Linked DNA regions of Alligator mississippiensis. Each later gene encodes a partner of the first gene's protein in a complex. Links are inferred from orthologs where the notes say so. Each region holds a gene or a part of one and is shown on either strand. Other genes may lie near its edges.

What was found.
Region 2: the proteins of STAP1 (region 1) and LAT2 are in contact, whole or in part, in a crystal structure (PDB 3MAZ), measured with the Homo sapiens proteins. The link is inferred for Alligator mississippiensis from reciprocal best matches to the Homo sapiens genes STAP1 and LAT2. Residues at the interface, in NP_001304698.1 of Homo sapiens: Arg184, Arg203, Pro204, Gly205, Ser206, Ser212, Ile215, Gln217, Ile219, Lys225, His226, Tyr227, Lys228, Glu239, Leu240, Glu241, Tyr255, Phe256, Glu259, Thr260, Arg261, Asn263, Leu264; in NP_054865.2 of Homo sapiens: Asn134, Ser135, Tyr136, Glu137, Asn138, Val139, Leu140, Ile141, Lys143.

Annotation. Positions count from the first base shown.
Region 1 is NC_081825.1:133,207,147-133,214,514, forward strand, and holds the start of STAP1 (signal-transducing adaptor protein 1), read right to left. Parts: upstream 3,002-7,368; coding exon 2,990-3,001; intron 1,496-2,989; coding exon 1,424-1,495; intron 1-1,423. UniProt on the Homo sapiens protein: In BCR signaling, appears to function as a docking protein acting downstream of TEC and participates in a positive feedback loop by increasing the activity of TEC.
Region 2 is NC_081837.1:13,846,229-13,853,603, reverse strand, and holds the start of LAT2 (linker for activation of T-cells family member 2), read left to right. Parts: upstream 1-4,366; 5' UTR 4,367-7,375. Other genes in the region: EIF4H (eukaryotic translation initiation factor 4H), read left to right, coding at 1-57, 1,971-2,126, 2,247-2,386. UniProt on the Homo sapiens protein: Involved in FCER1 (high affinity immunoglobulin epsilon receptor)-mediated signaling in mast cells.

The DNA.
Region 1 (7,368 bases):
CGGCATTAAGATGATACTTCCTGTATAGAGATGTAAACAACTTCAGCTACAACCTCTATATGCAAAACAGATTACTTAATTAAATATGCCCTCTGGAATTTAAAAACAAAGTTTACTTGTTATGGCTGGCTTTTGAGTCCTAAGAAGATGTCTATGATGATTCATGCATGGGCTTGCAGGGAAAAACTATAAAGGGGGAAAATTCTCACTATCATAGTCCCTCTCTTTACACATCTTGTACAGTGAAACATTTGGGAGATGTTGCAGAAACGTACTGCTGGAGGGTTTTGATTCTTCCAACAATTTATCTGGGAACTGCTGGCCTAATATAGACTCTTGGTGGTTGTAAAACACAGTCTTTACTGTCATGTTCATTGAACAAAGTTGTTGCTGGCGAGACTGCAGTAGTTTTGCTAACCACTGCAGCTTGAAATTTTTTATTTAAGAGCTAAGTTATGACATTGTTGTAAACTATGCTCTTAGGACAACCTAGAGCAATAAGTCTTTTACATCTTTCACTGAAATAAGCATAAATCAAGCACTACTTTAGTGAAGTCAAGGGGCCACAACAATATTCTAGTCACATGGGAGAGAATAATCAGGCCCTTTATAAAATGGTTTTAAGGAAAAAATACATCCCTATGCACACTGCTCTGAAAAACTGTGGTGGGGCCTTCAACTGTGGAGCTTGGTTTCAAACACAGTTCAAGCAAGATAAGCTGTGTCCGTTCAGGGTATTAAATAATTCTTGTTATACTGGTGCTTGTTTTTGATCTGCAGAAATTTTGTGTTAGGAAGGCATAAACTTGGCACTGGAGTAGAATTTCTTGCTTTTCTGTCAAAGAGCCTGTACAAAAGATAAAGAGGATATACATGCTGTATGTATCATAATAATAGCATCTTTCAACCAGCATTTTCCCCCACTATTTTGAAAACCATATATAGATTAACAGCTGCTTCTCAGCTGTACAATGAAGGAGGGAATGTTTAGCTCTGCTTTTAAGTGCTGTGAACAAGGTGATCTTTAATGTCCATTAAAAATGCCCATTGGGTCCTAGTGGATTGACTACTTGATGGGCTCAGGAGATCTGTGTTCTATTCTTGCCTCTGTGTTTCTTGGGTGACCTTGAAGAAGATAGTCCACCTGCCTGTGCTGCAGCTCCAGATAGATCTCATCCCTAGAGCAAATGCTCAGTGTAGCCTGAATGACTGTGGTGAGGAAGAACTTGCTGTATCATAATTTCACTTCCCATGACTTCACCAGGCATTTTGGTTTCTGGGCTTGCTTTCTGCTCTTTGGGTTTCCAAAGTGTGGGAGGATGGAACTGAGAGAGGCAGTTCTCACACACATGCTTTCTTGCTTGATGATAAGTACTATCGAAATTGCTCAAACATCTTCACATTAGCCCATAGTGCTACTCACCATTGTGGTTTTCTTATCGTTATAGAAGAAAAGTGTGGTTCCTCTGAGTTCTGTCCAGTGATGTTTAAATTCCTGTTGGGTATGAAAAGAGAGTGTCAGTTCTGTGGAAGCTGACAAGATTATCCAGTCAAAAAGTGCCAGTGAATGAAGGACTTAAGAAAAATATTGAAACCTGGACAGTTCTATTTCAGCACGGGATAGCTCTGGAGCAGTCCAGGATCTTCTGCTGACAACTCCTCACAAGCAGAAAAGGTCTATGAAATTAGTCCTTATTCAAAGTCAGGACTTCATGTCAGCAGACCCATGGCCCCTTGCTTTATTTTTGTGACAGTGTAGCTCTACTGGCTTCAGTAGAGGTCTGCCAGTCTAAAACTGGCATTACAAAGCCATGAGCCATGTCCATTATCTTGATTTTGGTACCTGATACTATTGATACTGGTAATCACAACACTTACAACACCTCCAGACTGCTTAGTAACCTGCTAGTATTTTCTAATGTTTTTGTTTCATAGTTAAAACAAGCGAATTCCACAAAATAAAGAAGAAACTATTAAAATAGTCTCATATTTTATATTGCTCACCCTAAATTTTATATCATGGAAGGACTCCATACTAAGGACAGATAGGAGAAAAACTGCAGGTTTTAGCCCTGTAGGGCAAAGGTGCAGAACATGCAAAATTTCCTCTCTTGTCATCTGAAGAAAGATTCTTTGTGCCTGAACATTTGTTTAACATCTCTCCCAATTGCTCCAATAAAAGATATCAACAATCTCTTCCCCCCCCGGCTTCTTGTATATTTTCTGGACTGTCATGGCTACAACAACATTTTCTCATCGAGTCATTCTGACTTCCTTTTTTAACCAGTTAGGGAGCTGCCTCAAAATAAGAATTTATTGTTTATCACGTGGAAAGTATATAGGTATGTTTCTGCATTTATGCCATTATTTTCATTATAAAATTATAATCCTTGTGTCTTCCACTATAGACTGGGACAGTGAATGATGATGAGTTGCTTGTTCTCAGATAAAACCATAACAACTAATTTCTTTCAGTGTTTTAGGTAGCAAATGTCTGTTTAGACATTCTCTGAAGGCACAAACAGGCCAATGTTTAATGTATTAAAATGTGTGTTTAAACACAGGTGGTAGTTTTATTTCTAAGCACCTAGGTGAGGTCTGATTTATAGACAGTGTGGGGCACCCACTGGTGCTTCTTGATATCAGTGGAAGATCTGGATCAAGAACTCAGGTAGCTGAACAGACATTAAACATTGATGTCCCTGCTGACATGGGCCAAAACAAAGCTAGCTGAGGGCAAACAAATGCGGAGATGGAACCCTCCACGCCCAGTCATCGTTTTTTTTTTAACTGTCTAATCCTGAAAAGATTTATTTTGACCCTGATAGTTTGTTCACATGAGGAACATGCTGATATTAATTCCATGCCCTGACACTAAGGATATTCTGACCTTATTCTACACTCTTTCGTTTAGAATGACAGTTTATGTACTTCGTAATTAGGTAATGCATGATAAAGATGAGATGAGTTTTTTTGAAGTGATTGATACCTTCTTGTACATTACGGTACAACTGGGGGTGATTTAGTGCTAACATCTCCCAACTATTGATAGTAATGTCACATTTTTTCAGATTGGCCTTCACGGTGTCTTTGAATATCTTTTGCTCACATCTACAGTGGTGACCGTCAGTCATTTGGGAGTATAGGACCGGTTTTAGGAGCCAGTTGTCAGGCACCCATGTAACATATCTTGTCCATGGAGCTGGCAGTTGTGCGGGCCGGGTCAGACCCCGGGCCCTTTTTGTCGCTCTGCACGTGGGCTGTGGCCGGCAGCCCGGGCAGGCCGGGTCGGAGAGGGAGGTCGCTGAGTTAGAATTAGGCACAGACACGTAACGGTTGATTTTAAGATTGTTTTACTTACACCGAGATGGTCGCGGTGCAGGCTGAGAACTTGCTTGAGTTGCGGTTACAACAGAAAACACGAACACACGTGGAGTTTGCTAGGCTCCACGCAGACAAAACACGAACGATCACGTGGAGTTTGCTAGGCTCCACGCAGACAGAACTCCAGATGTCCAGGACAAGCGCGCATTAAACTCGTCGGTACGTCTTATAGTAGGCTCCGTTCGAAGACGGGAAGAGGTGGGCGGTGGATCAGGCCGCCAAATTCCTCTGGGCAACACACAGGGTTTCTATTACCCTGCCGTGCACACCCAGAGTCCCCGCGAGATGGATGCGGAGTCCTCTTCGGCTTGGGCGGAAACTGCTCAAGCCTCTTATACGGCTAGCAGGCCAATCGCTAGCCGCCACGTGTGAATAATTTAGAACTAGCCAATTGCGGGGCACGAATTTACATACGACGAGTGGGAACTCTTTGCACCGTGCATTTCTGTGTTGCAAAGGAAATGCACCCTGCAAAGATCGCTGCAAAGTGGCGGGAACACTCCTTTGCACGCGGGTTCTCTGTGCAGCAGAACTCCTCCGTGCAATGAAGCTGTATACCCACGGGGATAATTCGAGTGCCGAAGCACACACAAAAAAAATCAGACCTTTGGGTCATGACATCCCCCCTTGCTGAAGGCACAATAGAATTATACTTCAAACCTATCATCCGGGTTATTAACAGCTCTGTCAATGGTTCGCGAAACTAAACGAGCAAAAACAAAATCAGTCAACAATAAAAGTTCGTCCTCAAGGGATCGAATCAAATAATAACCGACACACACACATATACATAAAATTACATTCATAACAAAAAACTGAACGATCATGACTTCGGTGGGCGTCATGGTGGAATCGCGCGTCAGGCCTTTGTTCCTTTTGGTGATGTTGTCCTTCTCGGGGCCTCTCTCCACCACGCACTCCGAATCCCTGATCTGTAAAAGAACTCTCTCAAAATGGTTATTCACAAATCACACAGGACCGCACGATAATGCAGTCGATTAAACTTATCATTACTTATTAAATACAAATATGTAAACACGATTTTATACTAGACAGCTCTTTCTCTTTTCCGACTCAGCAACTCGACGAAATCGTCAATGAGTCGTCGTCGCCTTCTTCTAGATAGTGAAAACCTAACTCGTAGGCTAGCTGCCATTGTCCCGCATCTCCTAAAATCCGAAGCTGTCTCTTATTAAGTCCAGAGCGCTGCAGGAGGTATCCAAACATGTATGACTCCTCTTGCGTTCTCTGGCATAATACTGGACGCTCGGATTTGCGGTGTTTCGTGTTCTGAGCCTCGGTCGGGCGTTGATACTCCCGATCACTGGATAGTCTTGGCTCCATTAGGACGTGCAGTCTTGACAACTGATGAAGGAGACTACTCACAGGATGATCGACCAGTGGGTTCAGCACAATCCGCAAAACCACGATGTTTCTTTGCCCATAAACTTTAAGACAACTATCTATGCTGTCGAGAGTCACCGGAACGGTTCCAGGGTCTCGCAGGTGACGATGAGGCCACGGTCGCATTCGTTGGAGCGGTGTTAGTCCCAACATGCATTCTCTTGGGTTCCAGGCGCAATACGAAACTCCGATAATAGTTAGTACAAGCTGTTCTGCACTGGTATGCTCTGGTCGGCCATCGTGCCATGCGTGGGCCTTCTGTTCAATCACTCCTGCCACAAGCGCTGGAATCGGAATAGGCCAGTGGACGCTAAATGCCACCATGTTGATGTCAGTGACATGTCCCCTACTCCATGAAGCTTGTCTCACCAAGAAGCTTGCTTCTTCCTGGTCCAGGAGGTCGGACCCAAGTTCCACGACCAGACGTCCCAACCACACAGCCAGAGTTTCTTCGGGTCGGATCCTGGATTCTCTACACAAATTCTGCAGTTCGGCTCTGGAACGAGCGTAATAGGTGGTAGCTTGAACTGCATTCTGCGGACCAATGACTGGGCTGCTTTGTACTGCAGGCTGATCAGTTTCTTCGCGAGTTGTCGTTGCTGTTGCTGTTTCTGTCGGAGCTGTAGTCATTGTTACAGTGGGGGTTGTTGTTGTTTCAGGCGGGAGGGGCGGATGCACTCCTCTGCTTGACTCCCCCTCCCTTCGGCAGAGGGGCGTGGTCGGCGGAACCGACGCTGCGTCGCTGGGCGGAGTTACCGGCCGAACACTCGCGGGCTCTCCCAAAGCTCCATCCCTCACTTCCGGCTCCTCCACGCGGTCTTCCCTCTGCTCGGTGCCATCTTGTTGGGGCAGTTTAAGATCCCCTTTCTCAGCCGCTTCTCCGACTGCCCGAACGGCCATATGCAGCTGGGTCTTTAAGCTTAAAGTTTCACTCATTAAATCAGTCATAGTCTGAAAAGCTGCATTTAGTTTTCCCCCCTTGTCGCACTGTAGGACCACTCTCTCATTTACGGCACGGTCCTCCGTCTCCTGGTCTTCGCGGAGCTCGGACAGACGATCTTGACCCCTCAGTCTGGGCACCACCATACAAGGGGAAAACCAGCCGATTGGCATCGTCTCTCCCATCTCTCGGGCACACCGTGAGCAAAGGAGACACTCCCGGGTGGGGGTCGGGCTTACTGCGCTCGCCGGGTCGACTTCAGCAAGGGTCACAGCCTCGAGGGGCCTGTACAGGACCCGCTCATCGGCCATGATACACCTCAACGCCGCGGGGTGAAGATATATTTCTTTCCCTTCTAGGGCTCCAACTTCTGGAGTTCCCTCTTCTCCCCTTAACGAAAGGTATCCACAGACACATCTCTTGCCCGTTCTGCCCGCCTGGTGGTACACGAGGTGCGCCTCCAGTTCTCCGATGCTTGCTACGCTGCGTCTCCCACTTCTCCAAGGGCAGTTCTCAACTAATTCTAACTCTAGCGAGCCCTCTCCTGAGCTCATCGCCATGTGCCGCGGTGATCCTGATCCCATCCTCGTCGCCATGTGCGGGCCAGGTCAGGCCCCGGGCCCTTTTCGTCGCTCTGCATGTGGGCTGTGGCCGGCAGCCCGGGCAGGCCGGGTCGGAGAGGGAGGTCGCTGAATTAGAATTAGGCACAGACACGTAACGGTTGATTTTAAGATTGTTTTACTTACACCGAGATGGTCGCGGTGCAGGCTGAGAACTTGCTTGAGTTGCGGTTACAACAGAAAACATGAACACACGTGGAGTTTGCTAGGCTCCACGCAGACAAAACACGAACGATCACGTGGAGTTTGCTAGGCTCCACGCAGACAGAACTCCAGATGTCCAGGACAAGCGCACATTAAACTCGTCGGTACGTCTTATAGTAGGCTCCGTTCGAAGACGGGAAGAGGTGGGCGGTGGATCAGGCCGCCAAACTCCTCTGGGCAACACACAGGGTTTCTATTACCCTGCCGCGCACACCCAGAGTCCGCACGAGATGGATGCGGAGTCCTCTTCGGCTTGGGCGGAAACTGCTCAAGCCTCTTATACGGCTAGCAGGCCAATCGCTAGCCGCCACGTGTGAATAATTTAGAACTAGCCAATTGCAGGGCACGAATTTACATACGACGAGTGGGAACTCTTTGCACCGTGCATTTCTGTGTTGCAAAGGAAATGCACCCTGCAAAGATCGCTGCAAAGTGGCTGGAACGCTCCTTTACACGCAGGTTCTCTGTGCAGCAGAACTCCTCCGTGCAATGAAGCTGTATACCCACGGGGATAATTCGAGTGCCGAAGCACACACACAAAAAAATCAGACCTTTGGGTCATGACAGCAGTCATATAAGCATAGCTTCAATGCTGGTAGAATTTATTTGAACTAGAATACTAGCATCTGTTCTTCCAATTGAAATAGAGAATTTTCTGAAGACATCACTGATGGTAATTTTCAAACCTTTCAGGTGTTTCTGGTATGTTGTCTGGGTTTTGTACCCATACAACAGCATAGGAACAATGGCAGCCTGGTAAACAAGAAGTTTGGTATGGGTCCTGATGTCATAATCATTTAACATGATTTTGGAGAT
Region 2 (7,375 bases), on another chromosome or scaffold:
GAGGTCCTCGAGAATCGAGAGGAGGTGGATGGGATTCCAGGGATGACTTCAGTGCTGGTATCAGTATTTATATTCTTACTGAGAGGCAGCATAAGAAATGCAAGAGTTGATAAATGAATATGTCTTTACATTTTGTTCCTTGGTTGCTCATTGAGAATCAGATTTTATTGCATTATAACTTGGTCATCTGAGTGGGTTTTAGCAGAAATTGCTAGAGAGCAGGTTTCCATTGGCATAGGCAACAGGATAAGGTAAGGGTGATGGTGAATTGTATGGAATAATCTTAGTTTGGAGGAAAGATGATGCCTCCTGAATGTTGAATGCAAAATGTGACACCTGGGAAAGTATTATTTTCAGGGTGTAATTAGGAAAACAAGGTAGTCTTTTAATCTGACAGACAAAATTAAGTAATAGAACTTGCTTCTGAATAGAAGCAGAAGGTGGACCTTGATGTAAGGCCAATATTAACCTTTTTTTACCCCAGGTAGAAGTATGTTTTCATGTTTTCTTCAAACGAAAGAGTCAGAAATGACTTCTCTCAAAAGATCAAGTTTACCAAACAAAGATTTCAATAAATATTTTGCAGAACTTTTTCCATGTGTGTGGTTTTTATTTTGTTTTGCCAGTTTGTTGCAAACAGCAGCAGATGACAGAGCTTGTAGAGAAAATAGCTGGTGACAGCCTGCAGCCATTGATTGATTGATTGATTTACTTTAATTTTTTCTACGAATGGATTTTACTTCAAAACAACACCTTCCTGCTTGGGGTGGGGGTGGTGTCATCCAATAACTGTTCAAAGTCCTCTGTGAAATGGGTGGTGGGTTTGGCCCATTTTCTGGTGGGGAGATGCTGAATGCAAAATCGGCACTTGTCCATCTCTGCATGAATTGAATGGATTTGTGGTACAAGGAGCAGTTAATGCAGTTGATCTGTTCCTGTAGGTTGAAACTGAAGTATTATTTTTGAAGCTTCAAGTAGGTGAGAAGCTTGCAGTGCTAGTGCTTGTACTATACCTCGTTTGCAGCCTGGAGCACATTCCTGTCCTAATTTGTTAGTCTGGTACCTTTCATTGAGGATATTTCATTAAAATATGGAATCTTTTGCAGCCAGTTAAATGCTGAATGGATGACCATAGTTCGTGGAAACCCTGAGGCAATCAGAAGTTTGCTATTCTTTGGTTTTCAGTAATAAGCTTATTTGTGAAACTGTCCACAGTTATGGATCACTAACTGAAATGTACAGCATGCTTTGATCTTTAAGCAATTCATAATAGACTAGTTCATTAGCTGAAATGACTTTATGGCAAATACTCAGTTAAATGTTTAAATAATTGGGTGTAAGTTGTTTTATTTGGTTACTACAGAGTCTTAGCTGAAGCAGCACTGCATTGCTCCAGCACTGGCCTTCCCAGCTTCTGCACATGGTGTGTAGTCATCTGATCTCTTCCCAGATTAGTGGTAGTGACTGCAAGGAGATCTTTACTTGTTAGTACATCTCCAGAGCTTGCTACCATTTGAATGTGAGCATGGCATAAATATCTAGCTGGGTAAGTAGCTTCTGAGCTGGATGCCACAATCTTGGGAAATATAGCAACACCAGTTCAGATGGAGCTTGTGGCATTTTTTTTTTTAAACTTTGACTTGTTTTAAGGGTTTATGACGTGCTGGATTTGATTTTTAACAACAGATAAGGTGACTTGTGTTGAAATCTGTGGCAACCTGTTAGATGCTGAATGGATGATGATAGTTCACTGAAAAAACCCTCAGGCAGTCAGAAGCTTGCTATGCTTTGGTTTTCAGTAATAAGCTTACTTGTAAAACCATCCAAATAAGTTTTGTGGTAAAACCAGTGTAGTGTTTTGGACTGACTGCAGTGGCATTGACACGGTGTTCCAGACAGCCGGTAAGACATCATTAGATTTGGAATATGGCAAAAACACACTGTCCAAATTCAACATCTTCCTTCTGCAGGCTTCAGAGATGATGACTTCTTAGGAGGCCGGGGCAGAGGGACTCGTACTGGAGATCGGCGAACAGGTCCTCCGCTGGCAGGGGGAGGGACTGGCCGCTTTAGAGATGGACCTCCCCTCCGTGGGACTTCCATGGACTTCAGAGAGCCAACAGAAGGTAGAAAACACCATTGAAGAACCTACATTCCCCAGTAAAACTAACGTAACAGTCTTTGCTTCCAATTTTTAAGTTAATGTCCTCAATGGCAATTTCACAATCTTATTTTTCTTTTTCCAGAGGAAAGAGCACAGAGGCCCCGACTTCAGCTCAAACCTCGAACAGTTGCTACCCCCCTCAATCAAGTAGCCAATCCTAACTCTGCTATCTTTGGCGGAGCCAAGCCCCGAGAGGAAGGGGCAAAAGAGCAGCACGACTGAGCTTGGGGTTGAGAGGGAATGGGAGTGGGGAGGGGTGGGGGGGGAGGGGGGGCGGGCAGGAAAATAAGCAAGACAGCACAGAGTGACTCGCTCTGCTGGAACGTCAACCCTGCAGTTACCATTCCTGCCATCTGACATTGTCCTCTTTGAAACCGAAAACACAGAGCTTGTGAACGCATGTCAGCTGTTAACAAGTGGTTTTTAGTACGTTCTTGGCTTCGCTGTATCTAGTGCCTGCTTTGTGCTGAGTTTTCCCTCTTCTGTTTCCTTCCAAGCAGCACAGTTTCCAGTAGATCATTTAGTAGCTGCTTCCACCTGTGTGAAGGTCCTGCTGGACAAAGGTGCTGCTTTCCTTCCTCTTCTGGGTTTGTTTTACTTTAGAAGCATAGGTTAGACTTGGTTAATATCCTGTGCCATTTCCTTTTGGCTTCCTCAATGCTCCTTTTCTGTCCTGCATGTTTTGTTCTGCATTGCTGTGGCTCTAAAGAGGTAAACTGAAGAGCCCTGGCAAATTGAACAGTTCAAGTAACTTGCACAGCCCTGACCCTGTAGAATTAGGTGCTGCCTGTGACAGTGGCTAATAGGATTACCACATACCACAAGAGCACTCATTCTGAAAATAAAAGTCCTTTTAGGCAGTTCACAGGGAAGAGACTGCTTCTCAGCAGATAGAAGTAAAACGATTTGCAGGCAGGCCTAATTAGTTAATGACATTTATATGAAGAAAGCACTTGCTTCAGTAGGCATACCTCGAGGGGAAAGATGCATCCCACTATTATGTAACTGGCTGTCTACAAGTAGTATAATGTTACACTCTTGAGCTTGAGGTTGGTGCTATAAAGCTGTGCCTATTCTAGCACATAACTGCTGACTGGCTCTTTCTGCTTGTAATTTGAGTTTCACATGTTTGGTAAATTTTTAAAGTAAGTTTCTACAAATAAAGTTGACTTCTTTTTTTTTTTTTTTTTTTGTTTGTTTGTTTGTTTAAAGAGTGTATAATTTGCCATGCCATGTATGTCTGTCTGCCACCATCTTCTGTACATCTTGACCCAGTCGTGTACAGCTGACAGTAATTTTGCTTTTGGAATGGCCTCTAAAACGGGCAAGATTTGAATCTTTACCTCCTTTCATGATATGAATTCTGCTGCTTGGTGTGTAAAGATTTTTGGTAATGGTTTCTCCAGACAACAGTTGCCTAACCTCCTTGACCCTCAAATGCACTGTTGTCAGGGTTGATGAGGGCATGTGAGAAAAGCGATCCTGAATAGTTTGTAATGTTGTAAAAGAAAAAAAATACAAACCTTGGAGCTGTAAAAAACTGAGAAGACAAGTCCAGTGTGAAATAACTCTTGGGTTCCTAACATCAGTGCTGACAATTTTCAGATAGCAGGCAAGCAACAAACATACTAGAGTACCTCAAAGAGGACATGAGTTGTTTGAAAGCAAGGCTGCTTCAGTACCAGCTCCGTTGCTAGTACGGTATTCTTTTCCTTCCTGTTAACCTTTTGTAACATCAGAGTCCCAGCAATTTACAGAACTATTCTTTCCTTCTTTCTGCCTATCACTTAATCTGCTTCTGACATAAGAACCATTTGTCTAACACTAATACTTAAGTTAAGACAGACATGCATTTGTGTGGTTGTATTCCAAACCAATAATATTTGACCTATTTTACATCATCAATGTGGAAAAGATTTTAAGAATGAGAAAGCTCCCATATAAAAGCTCACTTCTAGTCAATACAGTTGACTTTTAAATGTAAGGAAAAAAAAAAAATGGAAAAAAAAAAATTCCAAACACTTAACACATTCTGCTTCATAACAGAAAGTAAATTTATGGATATGGTATTTTGTGAATGATCTTTTAAATAAAAGAAGACATTAAGTAATACTTAATGCTGGTCTTTATTTCTGTGAGTCTCCTACCTTGTTTCAGTCCTCTGCAATATAACGTTGTTTCTGAAGTTTCTCTCCATCTATTTAACAAAGGAGAACATTGTCAGTATTGGACATTTATGAGAACTCGGGTATACCATAAAGTCCAATAAAGATGAATTGGGGAGAGATTCTCATCTAAACATAACTTTTGGGAGCAAGTAAGAATGGCACACTAGTGATCACTTTTTTGGTAAATGCATCTAAATGCTTTTGTTTAAGATCATTTTGCCTAAAGCAATCCTAGTTTTCCTTCTCTTTGACAAATTTCCTTATTGGAGTAAATAGTCAAGGATATTAGATGCAGAGCAGCACTCTTTCTGCAGAATTTGATGTATTACTTGGTTAAAATCTGTTTTTTTAAAAAAAGGCTTTGTTCTAGTCTTCTTGCAGGGCCTCTCTTAATCTAGACTAAGGCAAAGTAATCAGCCCTATCTGGGCATGTCTGTGAACTGTTTGTGGGATTGATCTTGCCCGAGAAAACAAATATTTCACACATTGATTGGACTCGGGTAGTGGGGGAGGGGACAGTTATAGCAGTTAAGTAAAGGAGAGTTGGGAATGATTTGGAGGAGAAGGCTGTAAAATTCAAAGCTCCAAGATGATTGGCTCCTGCCAGGTCATCTTTGTGACTTGTTGGCTGCAGTGGAAAATAGCATGCTTGCTTCTGTGGGATAAGGTATTTTCTGTGCTTACTTTGATATCATGGTACAAATCCATGTCCTAAGCACAAAGTAGGAAATAGTTGAATTGTTGATGAACTTAGTGGTATAACCTGTAGTAAATGGCATTGATGTGGATGTGAAAAACCTTCAGTTTCTCTGGGGAAATGTAGAAGTTTTGCGTTGTAAATCAAATAAGCTGTACTGAATTAAAAAAAAAAAAATCACTTCTATTTATTACTGGGACTTGCCATGTTAGTGTGTTACTTCTGCGGAAGCAGCTCATTGTTCAGGTGGCAAACTGACCATGATCAACCTGTCCAACCAGGGGATGTTTCCTATCCTCAGTGCAGTGAAACCCACCTAGTACAGAAGTCTAATTCTAAATTGAAATATTTTTTGTGGGGGGGAGAAGGGCAGGGGGTTAAGTTGCAATAGGTACTTGAAAGAGAAATCGACTATCAAATTGTTTCTCTTGTCCAGTTCCTTTATTTTTGGTTACTGGGGTTTTAAGAGCAGGATATCCTTATAGCAAGATCCTTGTCTTTAGAGTTGTATATAGTTTTGCTGTCCTGGAAAACTACAAGTATTCGAGGGCCCATATGTCTTGCCTAGCTTCTGTCACATTGTGAACATGAGTCTGGAGAAAGAAGGTACTGCTTTGCAAATTTTTCAAGATGCTGGCAGACTTCTTTGTGCAAAAATTGCTATAGTTTGGCCCTTTGTATGTTTTGCTCAAGTTGAGTTTGTATTGTATCTCTCTTGCGTACAGTATGTTGTCCTTGGAGAAAGCGATGCTAGTGAGCCTTGGTATAGGGTGTTACAAGATAAGTTAGCTGTTTACTTTTAACTACCATCTTTGGCATTTCAAATGTTAACACTGCAGAAATTTCCTTGAAGTCAAGACCTGTGATCTTTATGGTGACAGCCCTCAAAATAAAGACTGAAATCTGTCACTGCCTTGTTACTTTGCCAAGTACATAATAACACTCCTGACAGTGCTCCAGCTTGGTTTCTTTGAAAGTGCTATAATAATCCCAGAAAATGGTGCTCTGACCGTTACAGACACTGAAGAGAGAGATGTGAATAATTTGTTAGAGTTTTGCATCAAGTCAAGGTTTGAAAGCAGGCTTTAGTTTCAAGAAGTTGCTTTCATTTTTTTTCCAACAGAACAGTATTTCTTTATACAACTGAATGTGTAACTTAGTATGCAGAGACCAGGATAATGACAAGCCGCAAGGAATTGACATTTTACCCAAACTTCTGCTGGGCATGCCAAAGTTTGGCAGATATAAAAGATATTATACAACTAGAAGCTTATGGAACTTAGTATAGGGAATCATTCCAGAGCAGAATGAACACACGTGTCCAGTTAATCTTGCCCCAACACAGTTTTGGATTAGGCTGGTATTTTCCACTTGATGTAGTTTGAAGCAACAAAGTCTAATCATGGACATTTTGGCAGGTGGAGAAGCTTTTGGTAACGTGTTCATGCCAGCTGCCAAATTCTAATTGTATGTTCAGAGAACTATAAATTGTTACTCGCAATTGTTCAGAACAAGACCTATTGAAATTCCTGCAAATTCTGTGCAGAGCAGATTTAATAGCAAAGCCGGCTTTAGAGCTGGCAATGTAGCTGAATCAGAAGGGTGAGTGTCCAATGACCTCTTCATTGGAAGGTTCTGGCGTGCGCTTTCATGATCACCCTCTGCTGTGCAAAGCTCTGAGTGCTGCTGCTACGTGATTGGTGCCATCCTTACTATGGCTAATACATGATCCTCTTAGAATCTGTCCCCTGCTGCAGGGGCCAAACCCATCAGGTGCCTGCATTCAGTTTCTAAGGCCAGATTTTATGTCATTTATTTTAAGCTAGTCTATCTTCAAGTCTTTACTAAATGCATTTCTGTCATGTTTGTTCAAACGCTCGCTTTCAGTAAGCATGCCAGCCAAATTTCCTGTGGTTAGCTGCTGGCTATTTTCTTAGGGTTGTGTTGTAAAGGCCACGGACTTAATTTGTTAGCAAATTTCAGTTACCACTACAGGCATATAGATATGCAGGATATATACATCAGTAAGTTCTTATTTCCTAATGCAGAACCCAAGTATCCTATTGGGGCACTTGCAAACATTTGGTTGGCTTCAGATCGTGAGTTGCCTTCCTCGGTATAAAGTAGATTAATGCTTGTACTTAATTCTGGAAATAGGAATTTTGCGTAAGTGCTTAGATATTGAATTGCTTTTCATTCTTAAGTGTTTAGTTCCCTGCTGGCTAAATTCCCCACGTTACTTGCAATTTATTCTGCTCTAGGATTTTAAGGAAATCAATTTGTCCTTCAGTGAACTTTTGAGAGCATCCTGTACTATGTTATCTCGGCCTTTCTGGCTCTGGAGAA